Linked DNA regions of Stegostoma tigrinum. The protein of the gene in region 4 purifies or fractionates together with the protein of the main gene of each other region. This does not show direct contact. Links are inferred from orthologs where the notes say so. Each region holds a gene or a part of one and is shown on either strand. Other genes may lie near its edges. The genes, in order: nuclear cap-binding protein subunit 1, snrpf, snrpd1 and snrnp70.

What was found.
Region 1: the proteins of snrnp70 (region 4) and nuclear cap-binding protein subunit 1 purify together in Homo sapiens (affinity purification with mass spectrometry; 3 studies listed by BioGRID and IntAct, counting the BioPlex papers as one, with this or other methods). This does not show direct contact. The link is inferred for Stegostoma tigrinum from reciprocal best matches to the Homo sapiens genes SNRNP70 and NCBP1.
Region 2: the proteins of snrnp70 (region 4) and snrpf purify together in Homo sapiens (affinity purification with mass spectrometry; 5 studies listed by BioGRID and IntAct, counting the BioPlex papers as one, with this or other methods). This does not show direct contact. The link is inferred for Stegostoma tigrinum from reciprocal best matches to the Homo sapiens genes SNRNP70 and SNRPF.
Region 3: the proteins of snrnp70 (region 4) and snrpd1 purify together in Homo sapiens (affinity purification with mass spectrometry; 6 studies listed by BioGRID and IntAct, counting the BioPlex papers as one, with this or other methods). This does not show direct contact. The link is inferred for Stegostoma tigrinum from reciprocal best matches to the Homo sapiens genes SNRNP70 and SNRPD1.

What each region holds. Positions count from the first base shown.
Region 1 is NC_081356.1:11,121,356-11,128,946, reverse strand, and holds the start of nuclear cap-binding protein subunit 1, read right to left. Parts: upstream 3,225-7,591; 5' UTR 3,074-3,224; coding exon 3,040-3,073; intron 1-3,039. UniProt on the Homo sapiens protein: Component of the cap-binding complex (CBC), which binds cotranscriptionally to the 5'-cap of pre-mRNAs and is involved in various processes such as pre-mRNA splicing, translation regulation, nonsense-mediated mRNA decay, RNA-mediated gene silencing (RNAi) by microRNAs (miRNAs) and mRNA export.
Region 2 is NC_081378.1:51,001,597-51,008,941, forward strand, and holds the start of snrpf (small nuclear ribonucleoprotein F), read left to right. Parts: upstream 1-4,061; 5' UTR 4,062-4,283; coding exon 4,284-4,286; intron 4,287-7,345. UniProt on the Homo sapiens protein: Plays a role in pre-mRNA splicing as a core component of the spliceosomal U1, U2, U4 and U5 small nuclear ribonucleoproteins (snRNPs), the building blocks of the spliceosome.
Region 3 is NC_081355.1:7,631,524-7,639,666, reverse strand, and holds the start of snrpd1 (small nuclear ribonucleoprotein Sm D1), read left to right. Parts: upstream 1-4,740; 5' UTR 4,741-4,861; coding exon 4,862-4,875; intron 4,876-8,143. Other genes in the region: phosphatidylinositol-3-phosphatase SAC1-like, read left to right, coding at 1-110. UniProt on the Homo sapiens protein: Plays a role in pre-mRNA splicing as a core component of the spliceosomal U1, U2, U4 and U5 small nuclear ribonucleoproteins (snRNPs), the building blocks of the spliceosome.
Region 4 is NC_081391.1:18,615,542-18,623,396, forward strand, and holds the start of snrnp70 (U1 small nuclear ribonucleoprotein 70 kDa), read right to left. Parts: upstream 3,045-7,855; 5' UTR 2,864-3,044; coding exon 2,717-2,863; intron 922-2,716; coding exon 859-921; intron 1-858. UniProt on the Homo sapiens protein: Component of the spliceosomal U1 snRNP, which is essential for recognition of the pre-mRNA 5' splice-site and the subsequent assembly of the spliceosome. SNRNP70 binds to the loop I region of U1-snRNA.

The DNA.
Region 1 (7,591 bases), on a different chromosome or scaffold from region 4:
CCTTCCTGCTACAAAGGTACCTATCAAAATTAACCTCCCGCTCCCTGCCTCAGAGACAATTTTGGGTACAACTTGCTACTTTAGCTTTGATGCCATGCATTTTTAAATTACATGTGGGACCGTGTTAAAATCGTCAATAAAATCCATGTGGACAACATTCACTGTGCTATCTTCATCAATCCTCCTTATTGCATTAAAATTGTATCTGGACCCAAAACATTAACTCTGTTTCTCTCGCCACAGAAGCTGTCAAACCTGCGGAGTTCCAGCAATTTCTGTTCCAGATTTCCGGCATCAGCAGTTTTTTTGTATAGAGCCATTGGCATCAGTTCTGGGATTGATACCGGGACAGCAGGGTTGGTGGGACCAATTCTGGGATTGATACCGGGACCGCAGGGTCGGTGGGACCAATTCTGGGATTGATACCGGGACCGCAGGGATGGTGGGGCCAATTCTGGGATTGACACCGGGACCGCAGGGACTGTGGGATCAGTCCTGGGGTTCAGACCAGGTGTTTGGGACTGCAGGATCAGTGTGGCATTGATACCGAGACCACAGGGATTGTGGGTTCAGCCCGGCGTTGAGACTAGGACTATAGTGGGGGTGGGGCCAGCCTGGCGTCGATACCGGGGCCGCGGGGACTGTGGGATCAGTGCCGGGGTCAGTGCCGGGGCCGCGGGGACCGTGGGGCCGGTGCCGGGGCCGCGGGGACCGTGGGGTCGGTCCCGGGGCCGCGGGCACCGTGGGGTCGGTCCCGGGGCCGCGGGCACCGTGGGGTCGGTCCCGGGGCCGCGGGCACCGTGGGGTCGGTCCCGGGGCCGCGGGCACCGTGGGGTCGGTCCCGGGGCCGCGGGCACCGTGGGGTCGGTCCCGGGGCCGCGGGCACCGTGGGGTCGGTCCCGGGGCCGCGGGCACCGTGGGGTCGGTCCCGGGGCCGCGGGCACCGTGGGGCCGGTCCCGGGGCCGGTGCAGGGACCGCGGGCACCGTGGGGCCAGTCCCGGGGCCGGTGCAGGGACCGCGGGCACCGTGGGGCCAGTCCCGGGGCCGCGGGCACCGTGGGGCCAGACCCGGGGCCGCGGGCACCGTGGGGCCAGTCCCGGGGCCGCGGGCACCGTGGGGCCAGTCCCGGGGCCGCGGGCACCGTGGGGCCAGGCCCGGGGCCGCGGGCACCGTGGGGCCAGGCCCGGGGCCGCGGGCACCGTGGGGCCAGGCCCGGGGCCGCGGGCACCGTGGGGCCAGGCCCGGGGCCGCGGGCACCGTGGGGCCAGGCCCGGGGCCGCGGGCACCGTGGGGCCAGGCCCGGGGCCGCGGGCACCGTGGGGCCAGGCCCGGGGCCGCGGGCACCGTGGGGCCAGGCCCGGGGCCGCGGGCACCGTGGGGCCAGGCCCGGGGCCGCGGGCACCGTGGGGCCAGGCCCGGGGCCGCGGGCACCGTGGGGCCAGGCCCGGGGCCGCGGGCACCGTGGGGCCAGGCCCGGGGCCGCGGGCACCGTGGGGCCAGGCCCGGGGCCGGTGCCGGGGCCGCGGGCACCGTGGGGCCAGGCCCGGGGCCGGTGCCGGGGCCGCGGGGACCGTGGGGCCAGGCCCGGGGCCGGTGCCGGGGCCGCGGGGACCGTGGGGTCAGTCCCGGGGCCGCGGGCACCGTGGGGCCAGTCCCGGGGCCGGTGCCGGGGCCGCGGCCACCGTGGGGCCAGTCCCGGGGCCGGTGCCGGGGCCGCGGGCACCGTGGGGCCAGTCCCGGGGCCGGTGCCGGGGCCGCGGGCACCGTGGGGCCAGTCCCGGGGCCGGTGCCGGGGCCGCGGGCACCGTGGGGCCAGTCCCGGGGCCGGTGCCGGGGCCGCGGGCACCGTGGGGCCAGTCCCGGGGCCGGTGCCGCGGGCACCGTGGGGCCAGTCCCGGGGCCGATGCCGGGGCCGCGGGGTCAGTCCCGGGGCCGCGGGGTCAGTCCCGGGGCCGATGCCGGGGCCGCGGGGTCAGTCCCGGGGCCGCGGGGTCAGTCCCGGGGCCGTGGGGTCAGTCCCGGGGCCGATGCCGGGGCCGCGGCCACCGTGGGGCCAGTCCCGGGGCCGCGGGCACCGTGGGGCCAGTCCCGGGGCCGGTGCCGGGGCCGCGGGCACCGTGGGGCCAGTCCCGGGGCCGGTGCCGGGGCCGCGGGCACCGTGGGGCCAGTCCCGGGGCCGGTGCCGGGGCCGCGGGCACCGTGGGGCCAGTCCCGGGGCCGGTGCCGGGGCCGCGGGCACCGTGGGGCCAGTCCCGGGGCCGGTGCCGGGGCCGCGGGGTCAGTCCCGGGGCCGCGGGGTCAGTCCCGGGGCCGATGCCGGGGCCGCGGGGTCAGTCCCGGGGCCGCGGGGTCAGTCCCGGGGCCGATGCCGGGGCCGCGGGGTCAGTCCCGGGGTCGATGCCGGGGCCGCGGGGTCAGTCCCGGGGCCGCGGGGACTGAGGGATCGGCCAGGGGCCGGGGCCGGGGCCGGGGCCACGGGGACTGAGGGATCGGCCAGAGGCTGAGGCCCGGGCCACGGGGGCTGAAGGATCGGCCAGAGGCTGAGGCCCGGGCCACGGGGGCTGAAGGATCGGCCAGGGGCTGAGGCCCGGGCCACGGGGGCTGAAGGATCGGCCAGGGGCTGAGGCCCGGGCCACGGGGGCTGAAGGATCGGCCAGGGGCTGAGGCCCGGGCCACGGGGGCTGAAGGATCGGCCAGGGGCTGAGGCCCGGGCCACGGGGGCTGAGGGATCGGCCAGGGGCTGAGGCTGGGGCCACGGGGACTGAAGGATCGGCCTGGGGCTGAGGCCGGGGCCACGGGGGCTGAGGGATCGGCCTGGGGCTGAGGCCGGGGCCACGGGGACTGAGGGAAGCTGAGGAGGGAGAGCCGCAGAATAAAGGGATATCTAGCGATGACGACAGCTGGCACTGGACACGGCTCGCGGGTGAAAAAGGCCGCTCTCAGGAGCCAAAGGAGGGAATAACGAACCGGGAGGCGCTCGGGACGGTGACGGACCAAGTGCGGCGCTCGCATCGTGCACCGGCGCCGTTTCTACCCACCGTCATTGTCGTCACTGTGCCGCCTTCTCGACATCTCTGCCCGGGGCCGATGCTAGCAGCAGCCCGGGAACAAGATAGTTGCTCGCTGAGAACGTGCAGCCGGTCCACCGGTGGTACCAAGCACTCCTCCCCCACCCCCCTCTTTCTCGGGTCGTTCACAACTTCCACGGAAAAGCTTCCACCAGCACCACCACACACCCCCCGGCCCCCTCCCCCCCTCCCCCCGATTATGGCGGGCACACTGCACATGCACTTCCGGGGTAAATCCTCGCGTGCGTGCTGGCCAAGTGGTTCCGGCTGGAGGTGGCGGGCCGCTCGTCTCCCTCGGTCCCTGGAGCCCCGAGCTCGGGCTGCCCCCCCCCCCGGTCCAGGCTCGCTCCCCCGGCCGGACGTTGAGAGGCGGCACGAGCTGGAGAGCAGCGGGGCGCGCACCCAGCGTCCTGAGGCCGTGCCTCGAGCGCCGGAGGGCGGTCAGGGACAGGGTGAGAGCCCGCGGGGGGGGTCGGTCAGGGACAGGGACAGGGACAGGGACTGAGCTTGAAGGGAGGGTCAAGTGGAGATAGTGGGAGCCCGCAGTGGAGTGGAGTGGGGATCCGGAGCAGGCTGCGAGCTTGGAGGGGAGGGTCTGAGGGGTTGAGTCAAGGATAGGATGTGAACCTGCATGGGTCAAGACAAATTTTGTCATTTGGCAGACCAAGTACATTTTGCAGCTATGAGCTATTGGATTGTTTTATGGGCCGGGGACACCTCGGGTACAAATAGCAGCAACACTTGATGATAAGGATTAGACCATAGTGACAAGTATCACTTGCATTGTTTTATATCCTGGTGAAAACATGAAGCTGTTTCACTTGCAAAAACTGACGTTTTGCCTTTGGTCTTTTTAGTTGTAACCCTTTTCTAGAATGTTTTCTATCATGCAGAATTCTGCTTGAACCCTGATATTTATAATGTTGCATAAAAGTAATTTGCACTGATCTAGTAATATTCAATGATGCATGCTTGATCCTGAGCATAAAAAGAACTGAAAGCAAATTATTTCAAAAATTCATGATTTTTGAGACATATAATTAAAATGGCAACTTGCTATTGGTGAGGAATACTGACTGTATTGTGTACCAGATTTGTGGGCCAAATGATCCACAATCTGCAATAATCAACAAAGAGTTGCATGTTGCTTTCTGCTAAGTATTTAAGATAAGCTATCAAATGTATCCCCTATAGTTTTCCTTCCTGTATTGTACTTTAATTTGCATATATACCCATTTTATAGGCATTCGCTTTCTTTATCAAATCAAGACAAATACCTAAAGTTGGCAGCTCTGCAACATGAGAATTTGATAGGCCAAGTGTTCATTGGGAGTGTTGTGGACAGCAGTTTGACAAAGAGGAGGATATTCCCAAGCATGTGGCCAATAAACACATGCCTGAGCTTTTACAACACACTGAAGATGTTTGCCCAAAATAACAAGTTGATGAGTATCTGATTCTTCAGATCACTATGTTATATCACCACAGCACAGTGGAACTGAAAAAGAATTTGACATAATCCAAGTGATTGCCTGATGCAAGTCACACAAATTTTGATGAACTAAAGTGGCAAGAACTTCGTAAGAGTTTTTTGTAAGTTATACTGAATTATGAAAGCATTCAACTCTTTAGTTATACCTTTGCACTTTCAGGCTTTGTTGTTTGAAAAAGCCTATGTTTTTAAATTTGAAACAACAGTAATGTCGGTTAATTATTTATTTTTTTAAAAATACTTTGTATCACTTAAAATTATCCTCATAATTTGGAAAAGATTAATTAGATCTTCATGATGCTTTAAAATCATTTCTCAAATTGGGTTGGCAATTCCCTGTACTGGAAGCTTTCTATGTATTACACTTGAGAGCCTTTAAGCATTGAAGTTACACATTTGTTTATCAGCATTGCCAAGTTTAAATAGTGCCCCTCAGAATTGTTAAATTAAATGAGTATTAATTGCCCAGTCTTTATGGTATAATTGATAAATCTAGGTACAACCAATTCTGGCTTTCCACATTTCAACATGAGCAAGAATATAAATAAATATGCGCTCTGCTTTCCTCACTCACATGGAATCTGAATGAATATTAAAAATGCACCGCTGTAGATGGATTTACACCCAATTGCTGTAGTAACCATTTTAAACAAGATTTAACTTATGAAGATGAAATATCCAGATAAAAGTATAAATAACTTAATGGACTGGCAGACTATATTTAGCATATTGACATTCATTTTTACCCAAGCTAAACCTATCCTTTACAGAGAAAATTAAGTCTGTTTCTTCCAGTTGCTTTAAAGTTTTCTGTAAAGTTTGGGCCTTCTGAGTTTTAATCAGATTCCTTCCCACAACAATGGTGATAAATTGATATTAGATGGTGATCTCACTCTGTTTAAATGAATTGCTTATGTTAAAACTGTTTTGAAGAAAATCTGACTCAGCATGGTTTTATGAAGGGTAGATTATGTTTAACTCAGCTTGTTACATCTTTGAAGAATTTTAACAAATAAGTGGATAATGGGGAAACCTGTAATTGTATATTTGGACTTCCAGAAGGCATTAATTAGGTATTGCACAAAAAGTTAATATACAATGTATGATCATGTGGGGTTGGGGTAATTTATTAACTTCAGTAGAGGATTGGCTAACCAACAGAAAGTAGAGAGTCAGGATAAATTGGTCTTTTTCTGGCTGGCAAGATTAACAAATGGGGTGCCATAGAGTTTGGCCCCTGGGCCCCAGCTATTTACAATGTATATTAGTGACAGATGCAGGGATAAAGGTGCAATAGCCAAATTGTCAGATGACACTAATGTAGATCAGCAAGTAATTACAGTGAAGAAATAACAGAAACTTACAAATGGATGTGGATAGATTAGGTGAATGAGCCAAAATTAGGTAGATGGCATTTAACATGGATAAGTGTAAGGTTCTCCCTTTTGTTTGGAAGAATAGAAAAGCAATTTGTTATCAAAATGGAAAAAAAAACTCACTGATTTGGCACAGTGGGATCTGGGTGTCCTTGTGCGTGACTGATAGAAAGTTAATATGCAGCTTTATCAGGTAATAAGGGAGGCAGATGGAATTTTGTCATTTAATGCTAAAGGAATAGCTGTAAAAGTAGGGAAGTGTTGCTGCAACTGTACAAAGCATTAGTGATTCTGACCCAGAGTATTGCATACAGTTTTGGTTCCCTTACTTGAGGAATGATATAATTCACTGGACACAGTTGGGAGAAGTTTCACTAGATTGATTCCAGAGATGAGGGATTTGTCTTGAGAGGTTGAGGAGTTTAGGTCTATTCTGTCTTGCATTTAGAAGAATGAGAGAAGATCTGTTTGTCAATTTTCTTTAGCGACTTATATACCTCAAATTAGATGTAGGGAGGACGTATCTTGTGGGGTATTCTGAAATGAGAAGTCAATGCTTTCGGATAAGGGGTTGCAGATTTACAACAGGTGTGAAATTACTTCTCTCAAAGGATTGCAAATCTGGAAATTGCTACCCCAGAGTACAGTGGATAACGGGACATTAAGTAAATTTGAGGATGGAATAGGCAGATTTTTAATTAGTAATGTGTTGAAGAATTATGGGGAGCAGACAGGAAAGCAGAGTTGAGGCTGTGATAAGATCAGTGTGATCACATTGAATGGCAGAACTTGCTCGATAGGCTGAATTGTTCATCTAATTGTGTGAATTTTCGCTTTGGTCCTTTTGAGTTCCAGGTTGGATAAAGTTGAAAAGAAGGACCTTTATGCTAACTTCAGTTTGGGAATTGAAACCCAAGCTGTTGGTGTCACTGGGCCGTGCAAGCTAGCTGTCCAATCAGCAACCAAGTGAGATGTTAATGGATTAACATCCCATGAATTTTTATGCTCCTTATTTCTTCATACAGGGGTATGTGAACACTGTCTCACCTTCCTGCCTGAATAGGCTGGAGTGTGAAACATTTGTAAACACTAAAAGCATTAAGCTCTGCAATCTTTATGGCTCTACCCACACTGCGGCCTACCTTTGTTTCTCCTAAAATGGCCAGGTCAGTGACCTTTGGTCAAGCCAGGCAGTTGTCACCACTTAAAATCGCATCCTGTCGTTATCATATACCTTGTGACGATCAAAGCTGTGTCATGTTCTCGTTGTAGCGCCATGACCACATACTCATGATGTTTCAGACGTAGTCATTGTTTTATGTATCCGCCAATTTCAAGGGTATAAAAGCGGGGACAATCGCTCACGATATTCAGCACTCTGTGATACGTTGCGTATAGGGATCCTCCGCAGCTTGTACTTGCTTAATAATAAAGGATTGTGTTTTTGTAACCAGGTCAGTGTCTTGCTCTTGCATCAAGTCCGTGAGGGTCTCTGTGAAACGAACCTAACATGACCCCTTAATCTTGATAAATAGGTAGTTTTGTTTTAATCGCTCGGACTGGGGTTTGTCTTTGATTAGGATCTTAACACGCATAATCAAAGTACAACAACTAACCTTTCAACACCTAATCTTAAGGAGGCATTGTACATTCA
Region 2 (7,345 bases), on a different chromosome or scaffold from region 4:
AACAAAAAGCAAGACAATTCCAACCCAGTCAGTTACCATCCTTTCAGTTTACTCTTGATCATCAGCATATTGGAATGGGTCATTGATGGGGCTATCAGGTGATACTTAGGAATAACCTTCTCACTAATGTTTAAATTCAGGTTCTGGTAGGGCAATTTAGCTCTCGATCTCATTACAGCCCGGGTTCAAATATAGACAAGGGAGTTGAACTCCAGAGAGGAGAGATTGCCCTTGACATCAAGAATTTGGCTCTTTGGTCCATGCTTGGAACAGCGCCATACTGTAAAGAGGTTTGGAGCTGAATGGCCATGGAGGAACCCAAACTGAAAATCAGTAAGAAGGTTGATGCTTGATGGATGTGTAGTCTCTTCTACTCCTCATTGGTATGGTGGTGGTGGGAGAAATGGTGCAGGGGAGAGCCAAGATGACATGGTGAAGGGAGGAAGAATGGCAGAAGGTATGTATGGAGGGGTGATGACATGGGGAAGAGAGGCACAGGAATGGAGGGAGACAAAAAGAACCTCTCGAAACTTCTAGAGAACCAAGGGATTATAAGGAATTGAAAGAAATTAGGATCACTAAGAAAATAATAGTGGAGAAATTAGTGGTACAGAAAGGTGATAAAGTGTTGAAAGAGGTGGCTGTAGAGATAATGGGTGCATCAGTGGTCATCTTTCAAACATCTATCGATTCTGGAATGGTTCCTGCAGATTGGAAAATAACAAATGTAACCCTGCTAGTTATTACAGACCTGTTGGGCTGATATCAGTAATAAAGAAAATGTTAGAATCTATAATAAAGGATATGATGACTGGGCACAGAGAACATAATGATAGAATTTGATAGAGTCAGCATGGTTTTATGAAAAGTAAAACATATTTGGCAAACCTGTTGGTGTACTTTAGAGATGTAAACAACAGAATAAAAAAGGGGCAATTAGCAGATATGGTATATTTGCATTATCAAAAGGCATTCAATAAGGTTCCAACAAGACCTTAGTGAACAAAATAGATCACTATGGGTTGTGGATAACGCACTGACATGGATTGAGGATTGACTAAAGGACAAAAAACAAACTTTGGGAAGAACTGGATTGTTTTCAGGTTGGCAAGCTTGCTGTCTGTGGAGAACATACTTGTTCTTTGAAAAGCTTCCTTGATTCACCCCCCAACCTTGTAAAGCTTATTGCAGCAATAGATGGCCAAAACTAAGGAGAGGTTTATCCCTAAAATATAATTCTTGGTGAATGGGTACAGCTCACTTCCAGCAGCTCTTCTCTTTGTTCTACGTTTCAATAGACAATGCCTAGAAAATGTTGAAAATGGATCCAAAATGCTATTGTACTTGTCTGTGTTTATACCTTCAAGGTAAACATTGAAATGTTACAACAATTTGTATTCCAGTAAAACATTTAATCCAATGAAATATACGAAGGTGTTTCATGGAAGTACTACGAAACAAAATATGACACTAAAGTGCAAGGTATTAAGGCAAATGATCAAAAACCTCATCTAAGAGGGAGGTTTCAAGGAAGTTCTTAAAGGAAGTAAGTGAGGCAGAGAGATATAAGGAGAGATTTCCAAAGTTTGGGGCCAAGGCACCTGAAGGCACAGCCTTCCAAGGTGAAGTGTTAAACTCAGTGGTAACACAGTGAGTTGTAAATCTGATGACATTACAGAGATGTATTTGAAAAGAACAAGAATTGAAAATCAAAAGTCTTTAGTCAACCCGCAGCTGATGTAGACCAGAGATTACTGGAGTGATGAGTAAATGGGATTTTGTGCAAGTTAGGACATGGGCAGCAGTGATCAATGCAAATTATCAAAGGGAAGAATATCAGAGGCAAGCAATGAGTGCACTGGAATAGTCAGGTCTTGAGGTAATAAAGGCATGCATAGGGTTTCAGCAGCAGAAGAGCTGAAAGGGACAAAGTTGGTCATTGCTAAATGTAATAAATGGTCTTAGTGATGGTATAAATATGGGAAGGTCATTTTTGTATCAAGTATGACACCAAAGTTGAGAACAGATTAGCTTCATCTCAGCTTGTTGCCAGTAAGTCAAGGGCAGCTTCCGATACCAAGCCCTGGTATCGGAAGCTGCCCTTGACTTACTGTGCCAGGACCTCCTGAGCGAAGGCTAACCCATTTGACTTGACTGAGGACTGCTGACAACTACGTCAAGTTCCTGGGTTTGTTTTTTCACTAAATGGCATGGCAAGAAAGCAGTAATATAAGCCTCGTAGTGCTGGCTGAGAGGGCAAAGGACAAAAGTTTGATTTGAGTTCATGAGCTGAGTGTGTATCCCTGAGTGCACAGACACCTTACTGCAGCATTACTATGACAGTTGCCAGTGCAGCCCGAGGTTCACACAGGAAAGGATATTTTAGTTTTGCTGAAGCAGAATCCAATGCCCAGAGACAGGCTGAACACAAATGGTTCACCAAACTATCATCTTATAAGTGAGAAGGCTGACACTATACTGTTCTTTCCTAGTAAAAGATCTAGAATTCTTCAATCTCGCACACTATTCTTGATTCTACTGTCTGTCACTTGGCAATTTTGGTGACCACCTGTGTTTCTATTTGTATTCCTTCACTCCAATGTCTTCCCTGTGCTGTTCATGTGATGGCAAGACACTGCCCATTCCAGCATCCAACTAGGGTGGCCAAATATTCTAGTGTGGCAGGGAAATTGTGAGTTTAAACATTACCTGGTATCCTGATAATTTCCTAAAAATAGTTCAAATGTCCATGCTTTCACCAATTCCTTTTTTGTTAAACACAAACTGGGCCTGGCGGGAAGAAACCGTGAGTCAGATTTAGGCCTTCTTTTCTGAATGCACTCATCACGTGGCATTGCATGCATTGGACCTATATCTGATCCCTCCCGGTACCACTTCCCTCTTGGCATCTCCAAGACAGTTGTCATGAGCTTCTTGACACCAATGTCTCTTCTGCTGGTAATAGCCTATAAAATATCTAATGAAAGGTGTTGCAAACTGTTTGGATGTCCAAAGTGTCTGATACAGTGATGTCCCCACCCCTGGTCTAGAAGATCTGTATTCAAGTCCCACCTCAAGGTTTGAAGGTCATGGGGTTGTGTCACAACATAACGAAACAGCCTGCTTAAAACAAAACACAGCTCTGGTTGGAGATATTGGGGCGGGGGGGGGGGATGTCATCACATGTCCTCTCACTTTCAACACCAGGCACTGTTCACCCCCAACATGTTGATCATCACGGTGCCTGAATCTTGCATGACCTTCCAATGAGTTGATTGGAAGAAACTGTTCTGTAAAAGGTTTGAAACACACCAGTCACATACTAGACGTACTCATCTTTTTTACATCAACATGGAGAGATCAGTCTGTTCATTTCCAAGTATTATTGATTTCTTAATTTAACAGACTCTTCTCTCTGGGAGATTTGAAGTGCTTTGCAAAAGAGGCAAGTGTGATGTAAGAAATAAAAACTTTTCGCACAGCAAGTAGTTTGGTTCTGGAAATACACTATCAGCAAGTACGCGAGAGGCAGGTTCGACTGAGGCAATGAAAGAGGACATTATTAAAATCGAAAGAACGGGCAGGAGACAAGTCATGGTAACAAAGTGTGAAGCTGGATGAACACAGCAGGCCAAGCAGCATCTCAGGAGACAAGTCATGATGCTCAGGGAGCCAACGCAGGCATGATGGGCTGAATGGTCTCCCTCCACTGTTCTCTGATTCAACGATCCTTGGTTCACTCAGGCTTTTGAAAATCTGGCCACCCGACCCCCAAACCCACCCCTGACCGCTGCCCATTGGCTTCGTCTCGCCCCTGAACAGGGCTCACCCTTTCATCTCTGTCTGTGCCGTCCTCCTGGAGATTTTACTGCAAACACCAATACTGACTGTCAAGACGCACCAGAACCTGGCTCCCACCCCAGACCTGTTGTTGTTATTAATCGTGTCAAATGTCTCTGTGGTACCTGCTGTAAAAGATCCTTGGCCATTACTCCACGGGGCTCAGCTGCACAACTCTGAAGGTTCGCTTACGGCCTTTCGCCGCCGAGCTGTCGGTCTCCGTGGTAACCGCCACCCAATATGGCGGCGGGAGGGTGAGAGGTGAAGGGTTACGGTTCCCAGCAGGCCCTGCTCCCAGCCTTTGGCGCTCCTCCCCGCGTGTGTCGGTCTCTGACACAAAGTTCGTCCCGTTCCGGAGCAGCCGTCATTCCGTGTCCGTGTCCGAGCCGAGCCGTCCCGTTCAGACCATCCCACTTCCTTCCGACTGTCCCACAGGCGCCGGCATGGTGAGGGAACCTGCCGCGTACACGCACAGCCCGGGGTGGCGGAGGCTGGGAGCGCTTGCGGCCTGGTCCGTGAGGCTGCACCGGCACTGAAGTTAAACCCTCCCCCCGAGCCCGCATCGCGAAACCGTCCCGGGGGCCGGGGGGGGGGGGAGGGTGGTGCGTGGGTATTGATCTGTAACTTCCCTCCCTCATCGGAAAGGTGTGTTCGGGTGGGGGTGGGGGTGCGGTCTGTTTCCCCGACCTCCCCCCACCCCCACCCCCACCCCCACCCCCACCCCCACCCCCCCTCTTCCCCCACCCCCCCTCTTCCCCCACCCCCCCTCTTCCCCCACCCCCCCTCTTCCCCCACCCCCCCTCTTCCCCCACCCCCCCTCTTCCCCCACCCCCCCTCTTCCCCCTCCCCCCCTCTTCCCCCTCCCCCCCTCTTCCCCCTCCCCCCCTCTTCCCCTTCCCCCCCGACACCCCCCTCTTCCCCCCCCCTCTTCCCCCCCCCCCTTCCCCCCCCCTCTTCCCCCCCCCCTCTTCCCCCCCCCCCTCTTCCCCCCCCCCCTCTTCCCCCCCCCCTCTTCCCCCCCCCCCCTTCCCCCCCCCCCCTTCCCCCCCCCCTCTTCCCCCCCCCTTCCCCCCCCCTTCCCCCCCCCCCCTTCCCCCCCCCCCTTCCCCCCCCCTTCCCCCCCCCCTTCCCCCCCCTTCCCCCCCCCCCCTTCCCCCCCCCCTCTTCCCCCCCCTCTTCCCCCCCCCCCTCTTCCCCCCCCCTCTTCCCCCCCCCTCTTCCCCCCCCCTCTTCCCCCCCCCCTCTTCCCCCCCCCCTCTTCTTCCCCCCCCCCTCTTCTTCCCCCCCCCTCTTCTTCCCCCCCCCTCTTCTTCCCCCCCCCCTCTTCTTCCCCCCCCCTCTTCTTCCCCCCCCCCCTTCTTCCCCCCCCTCTTCTCCCCCCCCCCTCTTCTCCCCCCCCCCTCTTCTCCCCCCCCCCTCTTCTCCCCCCCCCCTCTTCTCCCCCCCCCCTCTTCTCCCCCCCCCCTCTTCTCCCCCCCCCTCTTCTCCCCCCCCCCTCTTCTCCCCCCCCCCTCTTCTCCCCCCCCCCTCTTCTCCCCCCCCCCTCTTCTCCCCCCCCCCTCTTCTTCCCCCCCCCCTCTTCTTCCCCCCCCCTCTTCTTCCCCCCCCCCTCTTCTTCCCCCCCCCTCTTCTTCCCCCCCCCCTCTTCTTCCCCCCCCCCTCTTCTTCCCCCCCCCTCTTCTTCCCCCCCCTCTTCTTCCCCCCCCTCTTCTTCCCCCCCCTCTTCTTCCCCCCCCTCTTCTTCCCCCCCCCTCTTCCCCCCCCCCCTCTTCCCCCCCCCCCTCTTCCCCCCCCCTCTTCCCCCCCCCCTTCCCCCCCCCTCTTCCCCCCCCCCTCTTTCCCCACCCCGACACCCCCCTCTTTCCCCACCCCGACACCCCCCTCTTTCCCCACCCCGACACCCCCCTCTTTCCCCCCCCCCGACACCCCCCTCTTTCCCCACCCCGACACCCCCCTCTTTCCCCACCCCGACACCCCCCTCTTTCCCCCCCCCGACACCCCCCTCTTTCCCCCCCCCGACACCCCCCTCTTTCCCCCCCCCGACACCCCCCTCTTTCCCCCCCCCCCGACACCCCCCTCTTTCCCCCCCCCCGACACCCCCCTCTTTCCCCCCCCCCGACACCCCCCTCTTTCCCCCCCCCGACACCCCCCTCTTTCCCCCCCCCCCGACACCCCCCTCTTTCCCCCCCCCCCGACACCCCCCTCTTTCCCCCCCCCCCGACACCCCCCTCTTTCCCCCACACCGACACCCCCCTCTTTCCCCCCCCCCGACACCCCCCTCTTTCCCCCCGACCACCCCTCTTTCCCCCCGACCACCCCTCTCCCCACCCCGACCACCCCTCTCCCCACCCCGACCACCCTTCTCCCCCCCCCCCACCCCGACCACCCCTCTTCTCCCCCCCCCCACCCCGACCACCCCTCTCCCCCCACCCCGACCTCCCCTCTCCCCCCCACCCCGACCTCCCCTCTCCCCCCACCCCGACCTCCCCTCTCCCCCCACCCCGACCACCCCTCTCCCCCCACCCCGACCACCCCTCTCCCCCCACCCCGACCACCCCTCTCCCCCCACCCCGACCACCCCTCTCCCCCCACCCCGACCTCCCCTCTCCCCCCACCCCGACCACCCCTCTCCCCACCCCGACCACCCCTCTCCCCACCCCGACCACCCCTCTCCCCACCCCGACCACCCCTCTCCCCACCCCGACCACCCCTCTCCCCACCCCGACCACCCCCCCCCCCACCCCGACCACCCCCCCCCCCCACCCCGACCACCCTTCTCCCCCCCCCCCCCCACCCCGACCACCCTTCTCCCCCCCCCCCCCCACCCCGACCACCCTTCTCCCCCCCCCCCACCCCGACCACCCTTCTCCCCCCCCCCACCCCGACCACCCTTCTCCCCCCCCCCCACCCCGACCACCCTTCTCCCCCCACCCCGACCACCCCTCTCCCCCCCCCCCGACCACCCCTCTCCCCCCCCCCGACCACCCCTCTCCCCCCCCCCACCCCGACCACCCCTCTCCCCCCCCCCACCCCGACCACCCCTCTCCCCCCCCCCACCCCGACCACCCCTCTCCCCCCCACCCCGACCACCCCTCTCCCCCCCCCCACCCCGACCACCCTTCTCCCCCCCCCACCCCGACCACCCTTCTCCCCCCACCCCGACCACCCCTCTCACCCTTCTCCCCCCACCCCGACCACCCCTCTCCCCCCCCCCACCCCGACCACCCCTCTCCCCCCCCCACCCCGACCACCCCTCTTTCCCCCCCCCCCACCCCGACCACCCCTCTTTCCCCCCCCCCCACCCCGACCACCCCTCTTTCCCCACCCCGACCACCCCTCTTTCCCCCCCCCCCCCACCCCGACCACCCCTCTTTCCCCCCCCCCCACCCCGACCACCCCTCTTCCCCCCCCCCCACCCCGACCACCCCTCTTCCCCCCCCCCACCCCGACCACCCCTCTTCCCCCCCCCCACCCCGACCACCCCTCTCCTCCCCCCACCCCGACC
Region 3 (8,143 bases), on a different chromosome or scaffold from region 4:
ATGTGCTGTTCTGGGGGAGTGCGAGCTTTGGGACTGCTGCCATCATTCTCTTCAATGGCAAGGAGTTCGTTGATGCACCAAAGCTGGTTCAGAAAGAAAAGATGGACTGAATTTGTACCTGTGGAAAGCAGCTTGGCAACCAAGATTCTGTGCAAATGTGGAGGATCTTCTGACCTGCTTTCCACATCCAGACACTGTGCTGTTGTCTTTTTAAAACAATCAATTTCTAACAGTGAAACTAATGGTTGTGATCTGCAGTTGGAGTTGGATCATTCAGCCTTAGCTTTAACAAACATTTCTCTTCCTTGGTAATTTTGGATGATTTTTGGAACAACACTAGTGAAATAAAAAGGATTAGAAACATCTCCTGCTCATGTGATCTTCCTATTTGATGACCAACAACAAATGTACAAACAATCTCTGGGATGGGGAGGGCAGGGGTGGGGGCTTTTCACATACGGTAATGGTTCAAATCCAGCAAGCCTATTACTATTCCAGTCAGCTTGTCTGCGTGTGTATATATAATTATATATAGATATCATGAAATAGTAACAGAGCAGTAACATATCTGTGGAATGAGTTATTATTTCCAGATTTTAAGCTGTTAAGTTCAAAGTTTTGTAGAGAAGTTTGGAAATCAACTTGCTGCATGCCCTCAGTCCTTTCAGTCCGGTGTTTAAACCTGAAACCGCTTTGACATCTGTCTGCATCCTAATAACTCCTGGGGTAAGGGAGCTTTGATGTACATGCAAAACTGTACAGCGAGTTTTAGACAAACCTGGAATTTGTATTATGTTACAGAATTAACTGTATATTTTGATTTTCCTGAGTTGTGCATTATTTTCATTTAATGACAGTGTAATGATATACTTGAAGTCCTGTTCTTTTTCTAATTTTTACATTTGCTTGTGCAGCTCTTCCATTTGAAGTATTATACTTGGGTGTTATCAAACTGTTAAAATACTCAGTGGAATTGTTTTCTGGCTTTTGTTGCTTTTGGGAAACAATGTACTCTAATTCACCCTATATTCCCCTGAATAGTGCCTAGTTTATCCATTCATATTTTTTAATACCTTGAAATATCACTTTAAATTGTCCAAATGGGGATGAATGCTACCGTCTGTTTCATTATTAGAGACATACAAATTGGGATTAAAACTAGAGCAGAGCAATGAATTTGCAAAATGCCTTTAAATTGTCACGCAATCACTGATACAGAGGGCAATTCAATCAGTGTATTTTGCAGATTGAGATCAAGAATTGTCTTTCAGAATTGGAACTACAGTAGCTGTCATAAGAGATTAGTTCAGGTATTTACAAACGGGACTGGGCTGGGAGCAGCTTCTATTTATACAAGTGAAACTGTTGTCAGTTTTCCAACTATATCCATTCCATTGCCCTATTCTGTATTATGTTCCTCCTCTTTTGGAGTAATAAATAAAATGATATACAAATAAAGATTTTTATTGTTTATTTCTTCATAATATTAACTTGAATTCAGCGTGCTACATTTGGACAGTAAAGAGACTTGGTGTAATGTTCAGTTCTCTTGTTTATTTGCAGTTCTTTCTTTAAAATCTGTCATTCTATGTCCTGTATATTTTAAAAATCTTAATTTCAGAATAGCCAGCTAAATGCTGTTTTGGCAGCATCTGACAGGACAGCAATAGATTTAGCATTTTGAGTCGAAGAGCCTCAGTCAGAAGTCCTAATTCATTGAACTGAAACAACATTACTATATTGTAAAAAATAATTTATGGAGAAGTTCAGCAACATCTGTGGAGAGAGAAAAATAGCTCATATTTCTGTTTTTCTCACTTATCTTTCAGTTCTTCCAGCAGGTGCTGGAAATCTGAAATACTTCATTTTGTGTTACTAATGAGTTGCTGCAACCTGGGGGATCTGCCACCTGCATTCCGCTGTTGACTCTACAACTATGTGGTTTAAATTCCTGTATGAATTGCTCTCACTTGAAGCAGAGTATAACTTCTGTAATGAGCTGCACTTCTCAGTTTTCCTGATCAGCACTGTGCTAGCTGCTGTGGTGAAGTACTTTTGATGGGCTGCATTTTAAATTACTGTCCAACATTAGGCAGAATGTGATGTCTTATCCCATGTACTGTGAATGAAACAGAGCATAGCCTCCTAAAAGGTTAGGTGTATCTACATAGCTTCCCAGGGAACATTTCAGATTAAGAACCCACACTATTGTTACACCAGTTTTTTCACTGAATCACTACAGTGTGGAAGCAGCCCATTTGACCCATCGAGTCCATACCAACATGGTGGCACACTGCTTTCACTGCCTGTACAGGAAGAAAATTCCAAAGCTTCACAATCCCTTGTGGGAAAGAAAATCTCAATTTCTGTTTTAAATGGGGAAACCCCTTATTTTTAACCTATGACCCCAGTTCTAGATTCTCCCACAAGAGGGAATGTTCATCCGTATCTGCCCGGTCAAGTCCCCCACTTGTATACTACACTCATGTCACAAAGAGAAATGAGAGTAAAATGTAATAAGTTTTGTCATTACATAGGAAACTTCTGAAAGAAAGTCTTTGAGTTGATAGAGAATGTTTTGGCTTGAAACTGTGTGGCTTGGAATTGAAGTTGCAGGTGAAGTTGTTCCCATGTATCAGTTGCCCTTGTCCTTCTAAAAACCAAAAGAACTGCGGATGCTGTAAATCAGGAACAAAAACAAAGATTTTGAAAAAACTCAGCAGGTCTGGCAGCATCTGTGAAGGAGAAAACAGAGCGAAGGGTCAATGGATCCGAAACGTTAACTCTGTTTGCTCCTTCACAGATGCTGCCAGACCTGCTGAGCTTTTCCAGCAACTTTTTGTTTTTGCCCTTGTCTTTCTATTGGATGAGAGTTTGGAAGGTGGTCTCTGGGGATCTTTGGCTTTTTTTTTGCAGCACATCTTGTTGGCCCACTTGGAATTGGGAATCAAGTTCTATTGTCAAATGAACTCTACTAGAGGGATACATTACAGTGAAAAGTGTACAAAGTCGCCATTTTCATCTTAGATGCAAAAGTGCCGAGATACAAGTTAGAATAAAAAAGAAATAAAGTTAAAGTTCAGCATTACAGACTTTCTAAAGCGGGGAAAGAGAGCAAAAAAAAACACAAGTCTGTGCTGGGTTCACCCTGATGCTGGTGGCGCTCGAGCGAACACTGTGACAACTCGCCAGCTCTCCGGGGTGGGAGATAAATAGAAAGAGGGAAAAGAAAGCATGAAAAGAATAAAACAGACTTGGTGGACGAGCTCTGGTCTGCCAAAGTCTTGGAAAGTGCTAGCCAAGGAAACCTTGTTGATCTCTTTTTTTTGTTGCCCATCTTGCAGGCCAAATGTAAAGCATGTATCAGCAAACATGACTCGGTGCAAGTACAAAGAAGAAAGGAAATTACAGCACATTCGGCCCTCCCAGCCTGCGCCGATTGCGATCCTCTGTCTAAACCTGTCATCTGTTTTCTAAGGCTCTGTATCCCTTTGCTCTCTGCCCCTCCATCTACCTATCCAGATACATCTTAAAAGACACTTATCATGTCTGTGTCTACCACCTCCGCTGGCAACGTGTTCCAGGCACCCACCACCCTCTGTGTAAAGAACTTTCCACGCATATCTCCCTTAAACTTTCCTCCTCTCACTTTGAACTCATGACCCCTAGTAATTGAGTCCCCCACTTTGGGGGGGAAAAAAGCTTCTTGCTGTCCACCGAATCAATACCTTATGATTTTGTAGACCTCAATCTGGTGCTGTTTTGACTATATTGGAATTGAGAAAATTGTTTGAAAGGGAATATTTGAAAACTGCACTGTTGCAAAAGGGCATTGGAAATGACAAGTTCACATTCAGTGGAAGGTCTATGATGCTCAGGACCAAAGCTTCTTATCCAAAGATGTCAAAAGTAAAGAAAGGCTGAAAATGACTACTCTTGATTTTGTTTTCAAAGAATGGAAGCTATTTAAAATAAAAATACTTTACACTGCTTATAGAAACATAGCCTACTCCTGTGATTATAAAGTGTGAAGCTGGATGAACACAGCAGGCTAAGCAGCATCTCTGCCTGCTGTGTTCATCCAGCTTTGCACTTTATTATCTTGGATTCTCCAGCATCTGCAGTTCCCATTATCTCCTCTACTCCTGTGATTGATTGTTTTCTATTTGCCCCTTTGAGCCTGCACTGCTATTCAATATGACCACGCCATCTCAGTATCCCACTCTGGCTTTCTCTCCATACCCCTTGATCCCTTTAACTGCAAGGGCCACGTCCACCTCCCTCGTGAATATATCTAATGAACTGACCCCGACAGCTTCCTGTGGGAGAGAATTACACACGTTCACAACTTTGAGTGAAGAAATTCTTCCTCATCTCATTCCTGACTGGCTTACCCCTTACTCTTAGACTGTGAACCCTGATTCTGAACTCCTCCCCAACGTCAGGAATAATCATCCTGCATCTAGCCTGTCCAGTACCAGCAGGATTTTGTGTTTCTATGAAATGCCCCCATTCTTCTGAATTCCAGCGAGTGAAGGAGGGAGACTCTGTGCTGTAAAGTCTGGTCTGATTTTTCTGGGCGGGGAGTTATTTCCATATTTTATTAAAGGGGGCAGTAGGGAGCACCTGCAAACGCCGTTCTTCATTATCTGGCTTTCTGCGCATGCACCGTCACATCGTCCAGCATTCCGCGCATGCTCAATTGGAAACGGCCGACTCGGCGCCCAATTAGAGGAAACGGCTGCCGGCGCACTGCGCACGCTCAGTAGTAGGAGCCGGCTGCCGGCCTTCCGCGCATGCTTATTGCAGGGCCGGTTGTGGCGCCTCCATTCCGCGGCCCCGGGAACAATCTGCCTCCATCATGAAGTTGGTCCGGTAAGAGGAGGCATCGGAGGCCGGGGATGGGTGGACCTGGGCCTATACCTACCGAAACGGAGGGTATGGGGAGGGGAACGGAATGGGAGAGACTCGGTGCGAAGGAGATGATGGAGAAGTCGCGGCCCAGCTCAGGCCTGGGGCCTAGTCAGGCTGCACCGGCCGGGGTGAGGCTGCGGGAGATCTGGCCGCAGGCACGGGGCCAGCCCGGGGCTTCGAGGCCTAGGATCCTGGAGAGGTGGTGGGTGAGGCTACAGTCTCTGCCCTCTCCTAGGATTTACAGTGTGGAAGGAGCTGCTGCTGTTCTGATTGAGCACCTTGATCATGGATCAGACTCACTCAGCTCTCCCTTTGTCTGTAATCCAGTTTAAAAAGCATTTAAAAATGGACAGCGCTTTCATTCTTAAACTAATCTCTCTGATTTGACAAAGTCCCACTGTTTGATTTGAGAGTGCATCACTTCCCCACCCCCCCACTTCCCTTCCCCATTCCCATTGCTGTACATCCAAAGGGTTCAGTGTCTCCCACACAATAACCATTCTACCCTCTTTCCTCTCAGACAACACTCGTGGTTAGCCAGAATTGTCTGTGGTCTCACTCACCCACAGTTGGACAGTTGCTCAGTGAGGACAGAGATAATGGGAACTGCAGATGCTGGAGAATCTGAGATAACAAAGTGTGGGGCTGGATGAACACAGCAGGCCAAGCAGCATCTTAGGAGCACAAAAGCTGATGTTTCGGGCCTAGACCCTTCATCAGAGAGGGTGGTGGGGAGAGGGTTCTGGAATAAATAGGGAGAGAAGGGGAGGCAGACTGAAGATGGATAGAGGAGAAGATAGGTGCAGACGAGAGCATTTGTGCTCCTAAGATGCTGCTTGGCCTGCTGTGTTCATCCAGCCCCACACTTTGTTAGCTCAGTGAGACTGTTGGCCTTTTCCTCCACACATGCGCCCAGTCTTGCACCTGCCCTTCCTGACGATGCCCGTGACAGGGCGAGTGGTCAGCCAGAGATGCCTGTTTCGACTTCCGAGCATACAGTAGTCACCGTGACAACGCTGCCTCCCTAACTTCAGTGGTGCCAAATGGATGGTCAGCAAGCACTGCCCATCACACATTCTTCACTGTCTGTGTCTGGTTGGCTACAACTCCTGGATGAATTGTGATTTTGAAAGGATTGTGAAGTCTGCCAATGCTGATTCTGTCCCGGACCCCTGTCTTAGAGTTATACATTACAGAAACAGACCCTTCGGCCCAACCTGTCTATTCTGACCAGAATCCCAAACTAAACTAGTCCCGCCTGCCTGTGCTTGGCCCATATCCCTCCAAACATTTCTTATTCATGTGCTTATCTAAATGTCTTTTAAATGTTGCTTCTGTACTCACATCCATCACTCCCACTGTCTTTTTTAAATCACTCTCCCATCGCCTTAAAAATGTGCCCCTAGCCTTGAAATCTCTCACCCAGCGAAAAGACACATGTCATTCACGTTAGTTATACCCTTCATTATTTTATGAACCTCTGTAAGGTCACCTCTTAATCTCTTATTTTCCGGTGGAAAATATCCTAGCCTATCAACCTCTCCTTATAATTCAAGCTCTCCATTTCTAGCAATATCCTGGTAAATCTCTTCTGAAGTTTCTCCAGGTTAATAATATCCTTCTCATAACAGGGAAACCAGAACTGTTCACAGTATTCCAGAAGCGACCTCACCAATGTCCTCTGCAATCTCAGTGTAACATCACAAATTCATTCTCAAAGACTTGAGCAATGAAGACAAGCTTGTTAGATGCCTTCTTAACCACTGTATCTATTTGTGATGCAAACTTCAAAGAATTATGTACCTGAATCCCTAGGTGTTTCTGTTCTACAACACTGTCCAAGGTCCTACTTTGAATTATATAAGTCTTTGCATTTGTTTCTTTTATCAGACTGCAGTGCCTCATGTTTTTCCAAATTAAACTCCATCTGCCACTCTTCAGCCCGTTGACCCAACTGATCATCTTTGTAACCTTAGATAACCTCCTTCCCTGTCCACTATACCACCAATCTTGGTGTCATCCACAAACTTACTAACCATGTTTTCTACATTCTCATCTAAATCATTCATATAAATGACAGACAAAAATGGACCCAGGACCAATCCTTGTGAAGCACTGGTCACAGGCCTCCAGTCCAAGAAACAACCTTCCACCATCATACTCTGCCTATGCAGTTAAGCCAACCTTGCATCCGTTTGACAAGTTCACCCTGAATCCCATGTGATCAAACTTTACTAATTAGTCTACAGTATGGAACCTTTTCAAAGGCTTTACTAAAACCTGCCTCTCATTCCTCAGGTTGTTTCTCTAGTACGGAACAAGGAACTGCAGTGTATTGTACTGGGTTGATGTAGTTTTGGTTCTCAGATTCTAAATCTTCAGTCTTGATGTTATTGTGATGTGGTGTTCCTTCTCTCTTTATCCATACGTTGTAAGTAATGAATTTTGTGATCTGCGCTGATATGGGGGTTAATGTGCTGATGTGCACCAGCAGCAGAAACAAAGAACCTACATAAATTTAGATCTTTAACTGGTTGACATTGACATGGAGGAATAAAGAATATTCACCCCCCCGACCCACCACCCAAGTAATGTGCAAGTCCACAAATTAGCAGATCTGTTGAATTCTATTTTGCATACAAGTGGTAGAATTTGAATTTTAATTTCTTGCATTTTAATCATCCGATACAAGGAAAGTTGAATTGCCATAATGACGCAAGAGACGGCAAGGATCTTTAAATTCATTGGACGGGGTGGTGGAATAATGGAAATATCACTGGACTAGTAATCCAGAACCTCAAGCTGACGTTCTGAGGATGTGGGTTCGAATACCATCGTTGTAAATGGTACATTTTGAAATTGATAAGCAGTAAGGAATAATAGGCTGGTCTCATGGTCACTGTGTTGATTGCCATTAACACCCATCTGGTTCGCTGATACCTTTTAGAGAAAGGAATCTGCTTTTGTTTTTACGTGCTCTGACCTAGACATGATTCCGTCAGTGTAACGGCATGTGGGCTTAACTGCCCTCTAGTCAATAAATATTGGCCAAACCCGTCATTTCCACACCCCTTGAATTAATAGTTGTTAAAAGTATTACCAAGCTCAATATAGAAAGAGTGAAGAAGAATTGATTGAAACTGTACTAAAGGCACCTTTTTCCAGCTTGCATTTACTTAAAATAGCTGTGAATTATGAAGAAAATAGCTCAGTCATTTCTTCACATCAA
Region 4 (7,855 bases):
CTGAGTGGCCCTGACAGAACCCAAACTGGACATCACTGAGCAGGTGCTGCTTCATAGTACTGTTGATAACACTTTCCATCACTTTATTGATATCTGAGAGTAGACCGGTGGGACGGTAATCAGCCAGGTTGCCTTGGTGGGATTCAAACCCGGGTCCCCCAGAACATTAGCTGGGTTTCTGGATCAATAGTCTAGTAATAATATCACTAGGCCATCACCTCCCCAGATGTTTTTCAGGATGGACTCTGAAAGGTTGAATGCCTGTGACAAAGTGATTTAGGGCCAGTTTAAAGGGAAGAGGTCTCCAACTTACAATAAAGATGAGAATCTTTTCTCCTCCTGAAGCGTCGCAAGTCAGTGGAACTCTTTTCCTCAGAACGGTAGATGAGGAGTCATTGAATACTTTTTAAAGAGAGATTCTTGCCTACCAAGGGAAGTCACTGAATATTTCAGCAGGCAAAAAAAGTGTTGTTGAGGGAAATAACTGGTGGAAAAGGCATAAAAAGCTGAATGCCTACTTTCTAACAATTTAGGTGGTTTCATTGGTAGAAACAAGTAACAGGAGGCAGAAGTCTATAGAGACTACTGCTGATAAGCAGATGTGTACACAATTCTTAGGAACATAATCAGGCTTGATGAAGACCCTGTAATAAAATCAAATGGACTGAATACACTTACAGGTCACGCAAGCACCCACAGAAATGATGGCCAGATCAACAAACAGCTGAAAGGAATGTGGGTCCACAAACCTACAGAAAATAGTCGCGGAGACCTTCAAATAATTCCAGGTATTTTCTAATGTCTAGCCTTTCCTAACACATTTAACCCTAGGATGTACATTTGGCCTAAATTTCTTACCTTTCTTTCCATTCGCTCCTCCCGTGTCTCAGCTCTTGTTGGTGGCGGGGCATCTCTAGGATCCTACATAGCAGAAAAAGAAGCTGTGATCAAAAATTCAGAAGTTACACTTGCTATATTCCATTCTAGCAATTCCAAGTGGCTCCTTGATCATCACTTTTCCTGGATAGAGGCCAGTTATGCTTGAAAATGTGGTATGAATGCACTGAAAAACGGCTGTTCAGATGCAAGCATAAGCTTCTTTCAGGTGCAACCTTCATGTGGAATTGAATTATGGGTATAAAAGTATTCAAACAATATTAAATATATCAACAGTATGAAAGATTCTTCCCATAAGAGATGCCGACAGACCTTATTTCAAATTCCAAGCACCTGCAGGATTTTGATTTTGATCAAGATGTCAATATCTGGTTTCTTGGTAACAAGGAATTTAGGTTTCAGAACATAATGAATGAACATGTGCAACTGTAATAATGAGACAGGAACAGGACGATACCAGACATAAATCCGAAAGTGAAAGAACATAACAGAATGGAAAAGCTAACAGAAAATTCAAGAAAACCAGATTCTTAACAGACTGACTCTGAAGAATAAGAATGAACAGTGAAAAGGAAGAAATGGGAGTATATACGGATTAAAGGGCTAAATCAAGGTTGAGCGTTAAGTTTCTCTGAAAAACAGTCACAAGCATAAACTCCATAAATACAACCGTTGCGCCTCCAAACCCCACAACATGATTGTACAACATGTACTGTGGTCCACTTCATCTTCTGCCCATCCACCAGGTCTTAACCCATATCCCAAAACTATGTCACCGTCAATACCAATTCTCAATACACGCCCCTAACTGGACACAAGCCAAACTTCTCATTCTCCCAGAACTTGCCTTGTTCCAAAAGGCCCCACTCACCTCAATTACACTTGACCAGTCATTAACATCCTTATCCACTGGCCCAAACAGACCTTTAATACCCTTCTCCTCACACTACCACAAGACCCCTCCTTTACATATCTGGCTACCTTCTCCACTACTGTTCCCTCCTACACAATATCTTTCATATCAACACAGCTCTTGCTCTTTACTCACACTTCCCTACTCTACATAGCTCATTCCCCATTTTGAATCATCTGCTCAATTCCTTTCCTCCTCCCTCAGTCCTTATTAGTTCCCTATCATGAATTCCCACCTTCCCCATCCCCTCTGACAATTCTCACCAGCCCATTTCCCCCATCTCACATTCTCCATCCACCCCTCTTCCCCACCAGCCTCCAAACACCTCCTCACCATTCCCCCCACCCAATACCCTATTCTTGCACCCACCCCCAGATCAATCCCCTACCCTCCACTCCCCCCTCTGCAGTTTTCCCCACATGACCACTCCTTAACCAATTTAGCCTCCCAATTACCCCACTGTCTTTCCTTTCCCCCAACTCCACATCTGTCTGTTACTCCTTTCTCCCCCCCTTCACCCACTGCTCAACTGTATCAACCACCCGTTTTAGTTGCCTTTCCTGATTACCACTTCTCTTTCTCTCCACCCTGTTACGACTCTTTATCCCAACTCTCCCCATACGGGCTCCCCCTCCCTTCAGTTCCCACCCTCCCCCAGCACCCTCTCCTCTGCCAGTCCCCATGCAGTCACACCCCTCCCCACCATTCCCCTTGCCCAGTCAGCACCCTCCCCCGTCACCCCAAGATCCCTCCTCTCTCCAGTCACTCCATCACTACCAGCTCCCCAGTTCCCCTTCCCCAGTAACTCTATCAGCACCACTCTCCAGGCCCCCCCACCCCCCCGGGCCCTTTAACCCCTGTCCGTCACCCCAGGTTTATTCCCTCCCCCACAGCTGCGGCGCTGACCTCGAACTCCCGGACGAAGCCGGCGATGCCTGAGTACGGCTGGTTGTGGTGTTTCTCATGCGGCAGCTTCTCCAGCGGCGGCAGGTACGGCACCGGGTCCCGCGGCGCGAACAGCGCCAGCAGGTTCGGCGGCAGGAACTGAGTCATGGCGGGAGCCGGGATCAAAACCCCGCTGTCCCCTCTCTCTCCCCCTCTGGGTTACTCGGCCTGTGAGGTTGAGGAGGGAGGGGGGAATAACTCGCTAACTTGTTACTCTAACTAGCTTAAACAACGCCACCAGGCCTCACGCGCGCCGACAGCGAGGAAAACACAAAATGGCCGCCGTGCCTCTTCACATTCCCTCCGTATCATTGGGCGTCCCCTGCTTTGGAAAATGCATCGTAAAATACAATTCCAACCATTGATAATAATGCTACTCAATGTGATTTTATACCTTAGTCCATTTCTCTCTCAATAAGACTTTACCTTACTCTGTTTTTCTCCATTCTCCCTTAGGCACTATTTACATGGTGGCAGAACACCACCTACCCTTTATTTCAAAATAACGATCACTCCAGGGCGGTGGGCGGGATCACGCGCCGAGGAGGACCCGCCTCTACCCTCCCTAGAATGGCTGCTGTTTCGCTAGGCCCCACCCCTCTTCCGCACGCCGATTGGCTAGGACATGGGTGGACAGTGCTCCCGCCCATATGCCACACCTCTATTGGTACAAAGGCCTGTCATCTTTACTATACCATGTCAATTGGGTGGATAGATTGAGTGACAGCCATTTTCCCCACCCCACCCTTTGCCCGGCTCTCCTGCAGTTAAAGGGACAGTATCCCCTCAATGTCAGTGCTGGTGAAGGGTCTCCTAACATCTGGAATGATCGGTTATATTACTCTGCATGACCTGTGCAAGATGTTTGTAGCATTTAAATTTTTATATTAGGACAGTTTTGTTATGTGGTTTTGAACTCAAACGTGAGTTGTGGCTCATGAGGGACTGAGAAGGCAAGGTCATAAACTGTCTTCAGACTTGGGCTTGCATATAAACACTTTATTGCATGTAAAGGCTAAATACTCTACTAGAGAGGGGGAAAAACAGGCTTGAATCTGTTTAAGATAATAAAGTGTGAAGCTGGATGAACACAGCAGGCCAAGCAGCATCTCAGGAGCACAAAAGCTGATGTTTCGGGCCTAGACCCTTCATAGAGCCAGCCGAAAAACACCGGCTTCGATCCCTAAACATCGGGACGTAGATGACCAGCTTACACAAGCTGAGGAGCTCTTGAGCGCAAGGAACGACCCGGACACGCTTGCCCTCGGAATTGGACTAGTGGAAAGTATTACCGACCTACTAATGAATAGCAGGAAAAGACAGAACAAAAACAAGAGGCCTCAAAAAGATCAGGCCAAGAAAGACAAAAAGCCCGGTAGCAATACCGGAGCCAGAAAACGGTGGGCAGCACGAAAAGCGCTGTTTAGAGCAACACAGCGGCTTTACAAAACCAACCGGCGTCAACTAGCTCGTGAGATCATGGGGGCGCCAACCTCATCCGCTTGTCCTCTCTCAAAAGAGGATTTGGAGACATGTTTCCGTGAGAAACTGTCTGCACCAAACAAGAAATCGAACATAAATAAGTATGCCCCATACACTGGCAAAGTCGATGACGGGTCCTTGATGAAACCCATAGAGGTAGAGGAAGTTGAAGCGGCCATCAAGGGGATAGACGAGAACAGTGCCGCTGGACCAGATGGCCTGAAACTGCAAGACATAAGAAGACTCCATGAGCAGGAGGAAACTCATCTACCCCGCCTCTTCTCCTTATGGCTAAAGTCAAGCATGATCCCCGATTCACTAAAAAAGAGTCGAATGGTCCTGATTCCTAAGTGCGAGGATAAGGAATGCTTGAAAAGCATTGATAACTGGCGACCAATAACCATCGGTCCAATACTGCTCCGGCTGTTCACGAAAATAATGGCAAAACGCCCGAGTGAAACAGTCGAAATAAACCCCAGGCAAAAAGGGTTTCTAGCAGCCACTCCTGGATGCAATGAAAACATTGTTGTCCTCGAAAACATCATCAAGGGAGCAAAGCACAATCGTAAGGACCTCGCAGTTGTCTTTGTCGATCTAGCGAAAGCGTTCGACTCGGTTGGGCACAAACTATTGATCGAATCTCTGCAAAGGATGAAACTACCCAAAACCTTTAAGTCTCATTGATGAAGGGTCTAGGCCCGAAACGTCAGCTTTTGTGCTCCTGAGATGCTGCTTGGCCTGCTGTGTTCATCCAGCTTCACACTTTATTATCTTGGATTCTCCAGCATCTGCAGTTCCCATTATCTTTGAATCTGTTTAATGCCATTGAGATTGATAGGACAGAAAAAGACCCTTTAGCCCTTTGCATCTGCACAAGTCAAAAGCCCCACCTAAACTCTTCTAATCCCATTTTCCAGTACTTGGCCTGTCGTCTTGTAATACCAAAGCATATAAGTGCACAGCTAAATGCTTTTTAAATGTTAACAAAAGTTTCTGCCTGTATTATCCTTACAGGTAGTGAATTCCAGGTTTCCAACATCTTCTGAACGAGAAAGATTTTCCCTCACATCCCCTCCAAACTTCTTGCCTCTTATCTTAAATCCAAGCCTCCTGGTCATTGCTCCCTTCAAGGGGGAAAAATTCTGCCTATCTTCCCTACCTATGCTCCTCATTTTATGCCCAGGGAGAAAACTCTTGTGAATTCTAGATAATAAGGTGTAGAGCTGGGATGAACACAGCAGGCCAAGCAGCATCTCAGGAGCACAAAAGCTGATGTTTTGGGCCTAGACCCTTACGAAACGTCAGCTTTTGTGCTTCTGAGATGCTGCTTGGCCTGCTGTGTTCATCCAGCTTCACACTTTATTCTCTTGGATTCTCCAGCATCTGCAGTTCCCATTATCTCTTGTGAATTCTACTGTTCGAATGCTAGTTGGCCTACTTCAAGCATTTATTTGCATGTCTCTAACATTCACACAGCTAGACCAGGGCTGTACTTGTGTTTTCCCTGTCTCTCTTTAATTCTGATCTTGTTTATGCCTAGTGAAGAGCAGCACTGCAACATCACCTAGTGTCCCTTGTACAACATGCACCTCTGCCCATGGTTGCTGTGGCTCCCTATGCATTAGGAAGATCAAACTCAGACTGGGGCATATCACTTCATTGAGCATAACAAAATTTGGAAATAAAACCTAAAATACTGAAGTGTTATAGTTCACTCAAAGTTGCTGGGAGCAGAAGTAGGCTATTCAGCCAATTGAGTCTGTTCCTTCCAGTAAGATCACATGTTCTGATAATATCAAGTCCTCTTTCCTGACCTTTCCACATGAAGTTTGATTCCCTTACCAATTAAATGTGTCCACCTCAACCTTGAAGATACTGAACAACCTATCCTCTATAGTCTTCTGCGATAAGGGGTTCCACAGAAGAAACTATCTTTCAAGAGAAGAAATTATTCCTCACCTCTGTCTCAAATCCTAGACTTTCCCACAAGGGCGGGGGGCAGAAAACAAACTTGCAGCATCTATCCTGTCTGCTCCTCCATGGAGCTTGTATGTTTCAATATGATCATTTCTCATTTTTCTAAACTCCAATAAAGTACAGTACCTCTCCTCAGAAAAGGGTCCTTCCATACTCAGGATCAATCTAGTGTTTATGCATTAGCAATTTTTTTAAGCCAATTAGTCTTTCTCTCCTTTGTGGACTTTGTAAATACAAAGTTAAGCCTCATCCTGTCCCGTTTAAGAAACCACCCAGCATGAGTTTAACAAAATTCTAACTGGTACAACTGCACATTTCTTCAGGCTTTGTAACATGTGTTAGTACATGTGAATTCCTACTGGCACATGTCTCCAATATCACAATGACCTTTAGTATGGCTGTTCTGCAAGGTTTCCATTGAATCCATTAATATAGTGTATGGAAGATTTGGAGCTATGACCTATGAATATCTGATTGAAACATTGCATCCCATTTTGCACATTAAACCTTATTCTGTTATCATAATTATCATCATCTCCATTAATAATCTCCACATCCTCATTTGAAATAAAAACATCCTATGTAAACAAGTCACACCATAACTTGCTGAAAACAAAAAATGCTGCAAATTGCAGCAGCTCAGGCAGCATCCACGGAGGGAAGGTAACCTAAAGTTGAGTCTAGATGAATCTTCAGAGTTCTTCTGACACTGTAATTTCCCTCTTCCTCTAGCGATGGCACCAACTGCTTCACCTTCACATCTGTTTAGTTTGGTTGTTTGCGAAGTTCCTGTGATCCAACTAACTCCACGTCTCAACTTACTGTGCTCTTTGCTATATAATTATAAAACCAAAATACTATAGTATACACAAATATAAAGACTGCATTTATGACTTAAAAATGCAATCTCAGGGGCACCTGTCTAATTATCCTCTCACCTGTAACGATATGTATTTTAAGCAACCTCTTTAGACAGGCTATATTACACATCTGGGACAGGTGGGACTTTCAACTTGGACATTTTTGGCTCAAAAGATAAGGACACTACCGCTGCACCACAAGACCACTAACCTCCGACTGTATTGTAAAACAGTCTTATCCTCATCTTTCAATTCCTCCTGTAGCCCTGCAATGCTCCAAAATCTCTGCACCCCTCCAACGCATCTCTAACTTTGTTCCATTAGTAGCAGTATGCCTTCATCTACGTAGCTCTGGAACTCCCTTCCTAAATCTCTCCACCACACTACTTCTGACAAACTTTTCTGCTTAAAATTTCTCCTCCTATCTTTAATCGGTACTAGATGATTCAATGCCATATTTCATCTAATCATGTTCCTATATCGTGCCTCAAGACATATCACTATACTAAAAAAAGGTGCTACGTTACTGTTTTTTCCACCAGAAAGTCTGCATTTGGTCTAAACTAACCCTGTGCACTGCCTCAGAAAAGACCAGTTGTTCTGAACTATGCTTAGCAAAGTTAATTGGCAAAAAGTGGAGGAAGAGCAAAAATAAAAATTCCACCTTCAACGGTCTGTGGAGCTTTTTTTATTAAAAGTAAAAAAAGGCTATTATAACTTTTTGAAAAACCATTCACTAGAAACAAATTCAGGGAAATTACAGTAAAATGGCATAATTTAT